Linked DNA regions of Anolis sagrei. The protein of the gene in region 1 purifies or fractionates together with the protein of each later gene. This does not show direct contact. Links are inferred from orthologs where the notes say so. Each region holds a gene or a part of one and is shown on either strand. Other genes may lie near its edges.

What was found. Proteins that work in one complex are often made in the same cells at the same time.
Region 2: the proteins of SLC6A15 (region 1) and GPAT3 purify together in Homo sapiens (co-immunoprecipitation; 3 studies listed by BioGRID and IntAct, counting the BioPlex papers as one, with this or other methods). This does not show direct contact. The link is inferred for Anolis sagrei from reciprocal best matches to the Homo sapiens genes SLC6A15 and GPAT3.

The regions. Positions count from the first base shown.
Region 1 is NC_090025.1:150,856,950-150,860,549, reverse strand, and holds the start of SLC6A15 (sodium-dependent neutral amino acid transporter B(0)AT2), read left to right. Parts: upstream 1-862; 5' UTR 863-1,175; intron 1,176-3,600.
Region 2 is NC_090025.1:17,673,041-17,676,864, reverse strand, and holds the start of GPAT3 (glycerol-3-phosphate acyltransferase 3), read right to left. Parts: upstream 2,516-3,824; 5' UTR 2,125-2,515; coding exon 1,981-2,124; intron 1-1,980. UniProt on the Homo sapiens protein: Converts glycerol-3-phosphate to 1-acyl-sn-glycerol-3-phosphate (lysophosphatidic acid or LPA) by incorporating an acyl moiety at the sn-1 position of the glycerol backbone.

The DNA.
Region 1 (3,600 bases):
CCCAGAGCCCAGAGCCAAGTTTTGACTCTTACTAAACACTATGAGGGAGGGGGTTGCTCTGATATCACTAGGGAGGGAGTTCCACAACCGAGGGACCACCACTGAGAAGGCCCTGTCATACAGCCTGGAAACATCACAACAATCCAGTGATTCTGGCCATGAAAGACAATAGATTAAACCATGTCTTTGTTTTCTTTCTGCGAGCCAGTAGGGACAGAGTTCCAGAGCCAAGGAGCCACCACTGAGAAGGCCCTTACTCACTTTCTTGCCCTTTCTATTCCTCTCCACCCCATAGCGAGCTGCTCCAGAACGACCCACTCTTCTTCTAATGACAAGCTGGAGGTCTTCTCTTAGCATGCCCAACCTTTCCATTCCCAAAAACCTAGAGAGAGAGCAACTGAGAGTGCTAGAAAGAAGCTGAGTCCTCTTTCCGCATGGCACAACTCTGGCTGTCCAGGAACTGCCCTACCCTCCTATAGGTGTGTGCCAGGCGGGTACATCTCCTCCTGGTGCGCCTAACCTCTCCATTTCCAAAACCAGAAAAGGGCGGCGGGAGGGGGGAGACAGCAGCTTGGGTCCTTTGGCCACAGCATCTTCTCCCCCCAGGGCAAGTACACCGTGCCGCAGTCTCCCCTAGAAAGCCACAGGGTGGGGTTAGGCTGGGGACGGGAAAGGGGGCCTTGGGACCAGGGCTGTGGGCGCCAAGATGCGTGGAGGGGAGGGCTCGCTTTGTTCTCGGCGGAAAGCCTTGGTTCGCCTAGCGCGCCTCTCTTCCAAGGGTGGGGAGGGGGAGCCCCTTATCCTCTTGGTCTTGCCTAGAGGAGGAGGATGGAGGATGGATGGAGAGGCCGGCGTTGCAGGCTGCTCTGCGTCAAGGGAGGTGCGGCTCCCTCCGCCCTGCCTTTCCCCCTCCCTCCCTGCCTCCCTCCCTCGCTCCCTCCCGCCTTTCTCTCCGTCTTTAAACGCCCCTGCATCGGAAGCGCCGCGCACATGTACGTCTCTGTCCTCGCCACCTCCCAGAGCAGTACATAGACACACAAACACACACGCGCGCGAAAACCGCTGCCCCCTCTCCCTCCCCACAAAGCCATTGATCTTTCAGCTGGCCACATTGCGGGGACTGCGGGAGAGAAGAGCGAGTCGCCCAAGCCACGCTGGGCGCCTTTGGACAGAAGGTAAGGCTGGCGGGGTGCGGGTTAGGGGGGCTTCTAGCTCCTGACCTCCCGGGGAGAGGGAAAAGGTAGAGGATCATCGAAAGGGGGAAGCTTGCGAGTTTGCATTTATATATGAGTATGTGTGTGATGGGTGGGGTGCCTGCTTGGACACATCGGAGGCGAGGCAGCCTCGTGGTCGCCTGGACCACGCGCTCTCCAAGGAAAGGCCCCTCCATCCCACGAAAGGGGTCTATCCCAAGACTTGGAGGGGGGGGGGGTGCCTTCCTTCGTGGAAAAGGTGGGCAAGGATTGCCACCCGCTTGTCCGCGGAAGGAGGGGCCCGCGCGCCCGCGGCGTGGATGGAATTGACAAGTGGGTTGGTTGGGAACAAGGCCTGGGTTGGATAGGCAGCCAAATATGGGAGGCAAGGAAGGCCGAATGATCCTATATGGCTATGACAGGCAAGCAGTGCCACCCTACTTAGCAGACATGGCATAGAAAGGGCAATTGGTGGGGGGGGGGGGGGAGGTAAATAGGACTGGAGGGATAAGTTATTTGAGGAGAGGGATGTGGGGTCTTCATCAGCGCAGAAGGTGAGAGAGGCGCAGTGCTGTTGCTTCCTCCTCCTCGCTGGTCCAAAGAATGTGGCCTTCTCCTCTCGTGGTCCAGAGAACGTGGCCGCCTGAGGATGCAGAGAGCATCCTTCCCATTGGGATGCCTCCCCTGACACAGCAGGATGGAGGCATTCCAGGCAAGGAAGGTTTCAGGGAGGGGAAGAGGAAGGTGGAGGGAGGAAATCAGAAACATGTGGGTTAGTAGGATTTGGGGGCAGTCGAGCTGGAGATGCTCTGTGGCGGGTCCCCCTACCCCACGCATGGGCAGGCTTGTCGGATCGGCCTTGGGAGATCCCTCCAGCTCTTTCCAGGAAAGCGAGATCTCTTCCTCAGCGGCTTGTATTCTGAGGGGAGGGTGGAATCTTTCTCCAATGTTGCTCCTTTCTTCTTTTTTTTTCGTGGCATGTTTGCGTATGTAGCAAAGGAGACCAAGAACGTCAGCATTTGACACCCGAATGCTTGGTGGGCATGTTGGTTCCCCTTTTTGTATTGCATCAGAAGCAGAGCATTGCAGAGGCCTCAGTCCCATCACAACCCACGTTCCCAGTAGTTGAGGAGCCAACCCCTGGGGAAAATCCCATTCAGCACGTGAGCCTACTTTAGACCAGTGGTTCTCAACCTGTGGGTCCCCAGGTGTTTTGGCCTACAGCTCCCAGAAATCCCAACTAGTTTACCAGCTGTTAGGATTTCTGGGAGTTGAAAGCCAAAACATCTGGGGACCCACAGGTTAAGAAACACTGCTCTAGAAGATCCAGGCCTTCTACAGGGTAGAATGAATGCAGTTGGACACCACTTCCCATGGCTCAGTGCTATGGAAACCTGGGAGTTGGAGTTTGGTGAGGGCCCAGTGCATTTCTGGTTTTCTGATAAACCAGTTACTCATTGTACAAGGGACCCTTGGTGGCGCAATGGGTTAAACCCTTGTGGCAGCAGGACTGCTGACCAATAGGTCAGTGGTGCAAATCCAGGGAGAGTGGGTTGAGCTCCCTCTGTCAGCTCCAGCTCCCCATGTGGGGACATGTGAGAAGCCCTCTATAAGGATGGTAAAACACCAAACATCCGAGCATTCCCTGGGCAATGTACTTGCAGACAGCCAATTCTCTGATACCAGTAGCGACTTGCAGTTTCTCAAGTCACTCCTGATATAACAAAAATAGACATTCTTATACATTAATTCTGCCCTGTAGATGCACATTTTCCTCTCCCTCCACACGTGTATTGTGATTGTCTCCTTGCTTCTCCTGTTTGGCTAGAATCACAGAGTTGGAAGAGACCTCATGGACCATCCAGTCCAACCCCATTCTGCCAAGTACCAAGAAAACTGCCTTCAAAGCATCCTTGACAGATGGCCTTCCAGTCTGTTTAAATTCCTCCCAAGATGGAGCCTCCACCACACTCCGGGGTGGGGAGTTCCACTGTTGAACAGCTCTCAGAGTTAGGAAGTTCTTCCTAATGTTCAGGTGGAATCTTTCCTGTAGTTTGAAGCCATTGTTCTGCGTCCTGGTCTCCAGGGTGGCAGAAAACAAGCTTTCTCCCTCCTTCCTATGACTTCCCCTCACATATTGATACATGGCCCTCATCATGTCTCCTCTCAGCCTTCTCTTCTGAAGGCTAAACAGGCCCATCTCTTTAAGCCGCTCCTCATAGGGCTTGTTCTCCAGAACCTTGATCATTATAGTCACCCTTCTCTGGACACATTCCAGCCTGTCAACATCTCCCTTAAATTTGCAGTTCCCAGAATTGGACACAATATTCCAGGTGTGGTCTGACATGAAACCGGAGCAGTTTGTTATTTTGGTTTATGTAGTCGAGACTGATCCCCATTGAAAGGA
Region 2 (3,824 bases), about 130 Mb from region 1:
CCTCTTGGGCCATATAAAATGACAGGCCAGATTTGGCCTGAAGGCCTTGAGTTTGACAACTGTGTTGTAAAAGTGCAACTCCCAAGATTCCACAGCATGAAGCCATGGCAGTTAAAGTGCTGTCAAACTGCATTAGTTAGATACACCCTGTGTTTCCCATTGCTTTCATAAGCATTGTTATAGTCCGGTCCAAACAACTTGAGGAGCAGGAATGTAGTTAGACAATTTTCAGCAAGGGAGTCAACACAAAAAAATACCCTTCGGGCTTGGGAAGGGTGGTATACAAATATCACAAATAAGTAAGTAATAAGTAATAATTTAAAAGGTGGGTCTAAAACAGGGTTTCTCAACCTGGGGGGTTGGGACTCCTGGGGGGGGGGGTTGCCAAATACCATCAGAAAACACAGTATTTTCTGTTAGTCATGTGAGTTCTGTGTAGGAAGTTTGGCCCAATTCTATCGTTGTTGGGGTTCAGAATGCTCTTTGATTGTAGGTGAACTATAAACCCTAGCAACTACAAGTCCCAAATGTCAAGATCTATTTTCCCCAATCTCCACATTTGGGCATATTGAGTATTTGTGCCAAGTTTGGACCAGAACCATAATTGTTTGAGTCCACAGTACTCTCTGGATGTAGGTGAACTACAACTCCAAAATTCAAGGTCAATGCCCACCAGACCCTTCCAGTATTTTCTGTTGGTCATGGGAGTTCTGTGTGTCAGCCTGGTTCAATTCCATCATTGGTGGAGTTGAGAATGTTCTTTCAATGTAGGTTTACTAACAACTACAACTCCCAAATGACAAAATCAATCCCACTCAACCTCACCAATATTCAAATTTGGGCGTATCGAGTATCTGTGTCAAATTTCATGCAGTGAATGAAAATATATCCTGCATATCAGATATTTACATTACGATTCATAATAGTGGCAAAATTACACTTATGAAGTAGCAACATAATAATTTTATGGTTGGGGGCAGAGGCAGCCCTAGGTAATTTTCAATGGTAAGCAAACAGTATTTTGGCGTTCCCCTCCCCCCCCTCCCCTCAACCAATCACTGATATATATTTTCTGTTCGTCGTGGGAGTTCTGTGTGCCATATTTGATTCAATTCCATCATTGGTGGAGTTCAGAATGCTCTTTGATTGTAGGTGAACTATACATCCCAGTAACTACAACTCACATATGTCAAGGTCTATTTTCCCCCAAGAGTGCCCCTGGGCAAAATCAACTATACTGCAACTGCTTACTTTGCATAATGGGTTGAGCCGCCCCAGGTTGGGGGTCACCACAACGTGAGGAACTGCATTAAGGGGGCACGGCTTTAGGAAGGTTGAGGAACAGAGGTCTAAAGGGTTAGGAGCCACAGCGGTTAGTAGTAGTTTGAGCACTGGACGACCACTCTGCTGACCAAGGTTCAAATGCATGTTGCAAGATCTTGGGCAAATCATACTTTCTTAGCCTCTGAAGAAATGCCAAATCTCCTCTTAAGCAGCTGAGGGGGGAAATGAAAGGGCCTGGGGCTGTTAGGAATGGTGGGAGTTGAAGTCCAAAACACCTGGAGGGAGGGCCCAAGTTTGCCCATGACTGATCTAGATGCAGCCTTGTTGTTATTTTGTCGTTTGGGGCGTGCCAGTGGTGGTTAACTGCCAAACTGCATCCAGGATTTCAAGAGGAGGGTGTGGGAAGATTCCTAGAGTGCTGTCATTGTTTGCTTCAAACCCTTGCCTGGCCTCCTGAGCAGATAAAAGAGAAAGGAAACCTTCCTAGGGGGGGGAAATAAGAGTCTTGACTCTCCTGCTGCTGAATCATGCCAAGGAGGGTCAGCAGAAAGAAGCAGGGCGCACAAGAGAGGCAGGCAGGCAGGCAGCAGACCTTGGAGAGCCAACTCAAAGACACGCGTTACGCACGTCACACACACACCTTGCTCCCTTCTCCCGGCCTATTGTTTGGCGGCCCCCTTTCCCCCAAGGTCTCACCTCCAAGGTTTTCACCAAGACTTTGAGGTACAGCTCGGAGATGCCCAAGGAGACGCCGAAGATGGAAGGCAGCACGATGAGGAGGAAAGCCAAGGCGAACCAGGCGCTGAGCAGCTCCAAGGCGATGGCCAAGACCTTCTCCATCCTGGAGAAAGGCTGGAACCGCCCCCTTCCCCCAAATAAAAGGGGTCGCTGAAGACCAAGGGCCGAGCCCCTTCTCCCCCCTCCCTCCCTAACCCCTCCCCTTGAGCCTTGGCAGGAGAAAAGCAAGAGGAAAGTCCCCTTTGGTTCCCAAACGCGCTGGAAAGGGACTGGACCCGAAGAGCCCCTCCTGCGCCAAAGCTCACTCTTCCTTTCTTCCTTCCTCCCTTTCTTTCCTCCTTCCTCGCCCTGGCTTTCTGTCGCTCCACCCCTTTAACTCCTTCTCCTCTCCCCTTCGGAGCAAATCCGATCCTGTGGCGGCTTTTCCCCGCCTCCGGGATCCTTTTCTGATCCCTAAAAGAGGCGACGTCTCCTCTCCTCCTTCCTTGCCTTATCTCTGCGCCTTTGGGTGCGCCTTCGAAGCTGAGCCATACAGGGGGGTTCCCACTAATGCCGTATATAGAGAGAGAGAGGGAGGCACATATACATTCGAGCTTCCTTTGCCATTCTTCGCTCAGGGCTGCATTGTGATCTCAAGATGACCTGTCATTCGCTTCGAACGGATACAGGGGGAAAGAATCCATGGTGCTCCAGTCTATTTGCTGCCTGCCTGCAGAAAAAAGCATTATACAGGGTGCAGCTCCATTGTTGTAAATGCAGTTCAGCATCAATTTTACTGGCATTTCTCAATGCTACAGAAGAATGGGAGTTGTAGTTTGGTGAAGCCCCAGCATTTTTTACTAGAGGGTGCATCTACATCCGACAAGGGCAAATTTCGACCCTCCAGGTGTTTTGGACTTCAACTCCCACCATTCCTAACAGCCTCAGGCCCTTTCCTTTTCCCCCTCAGCCACTTAAGCACAGCTCTGTGTTTTAGATGGATTAAGAATCTGCTGATTTTCCCTGTAATGTTTTGTTATTGAACTTTTAATGTTATTGAAAATTGTTGTTGTTCATTCGTTCAGTCGTCTCCGACTCTTCGTGACCTCATGGACCAGCCCACGCCAGAGCTCCCTGTCGGCCGTCACCACCCCCAGCTCCTTCAAGGTCAGTCCAGTCACTTCAAGGATGCCATCCATTCATCTTGCCCTTGGTTGGCCCCTCTTCCTTTTGCCTTCCACTTTCCCCAGCATAATTGTCTTCTCTAGGCTTTGCTGTCTCCTCATGATGGAGTATTATTACTATTATTATTATTAACTTTATTTGTACCCCGCTAGTATCTCCCGAAGGACTCGATGCAGCTTACATAGGCCAAGGCCTCAATAAAACAACAGCATAACAAAACACATAACTTAAAGCAAATCAAACAATAAAACAATAGCAGTAAACAATAAAAACAATACACCACGACACAATAAAACTAGGGCTGGGCTAAATGTGATGGGTACATATTAAAATGTGCTGGGTGTGATAGGTGGTATGTCAGAATTTAGGGTAAGTGCAGTGTGCAGATAATCTTAAAACTCTGATAAAGTGCTTCTGGGGCATATTACTGGAGTTCCTATTCTGGAAAGACACATCGGAACAGCCAGGTCTTCAAGCTCTAAAGACTGCCAACGTAGGGGGAGGGTGTTCCAAAGTCAGGGGGCTACCACAGAAAAGGCCCTGTCCCGCGTTCCCACCAAACGCGCCTGCGACGCAGGTGGAATCGCGAGCAGAGTCTCTCCAGATGAGCGAAGAGAATGCGTGGGTTCATAGACGGA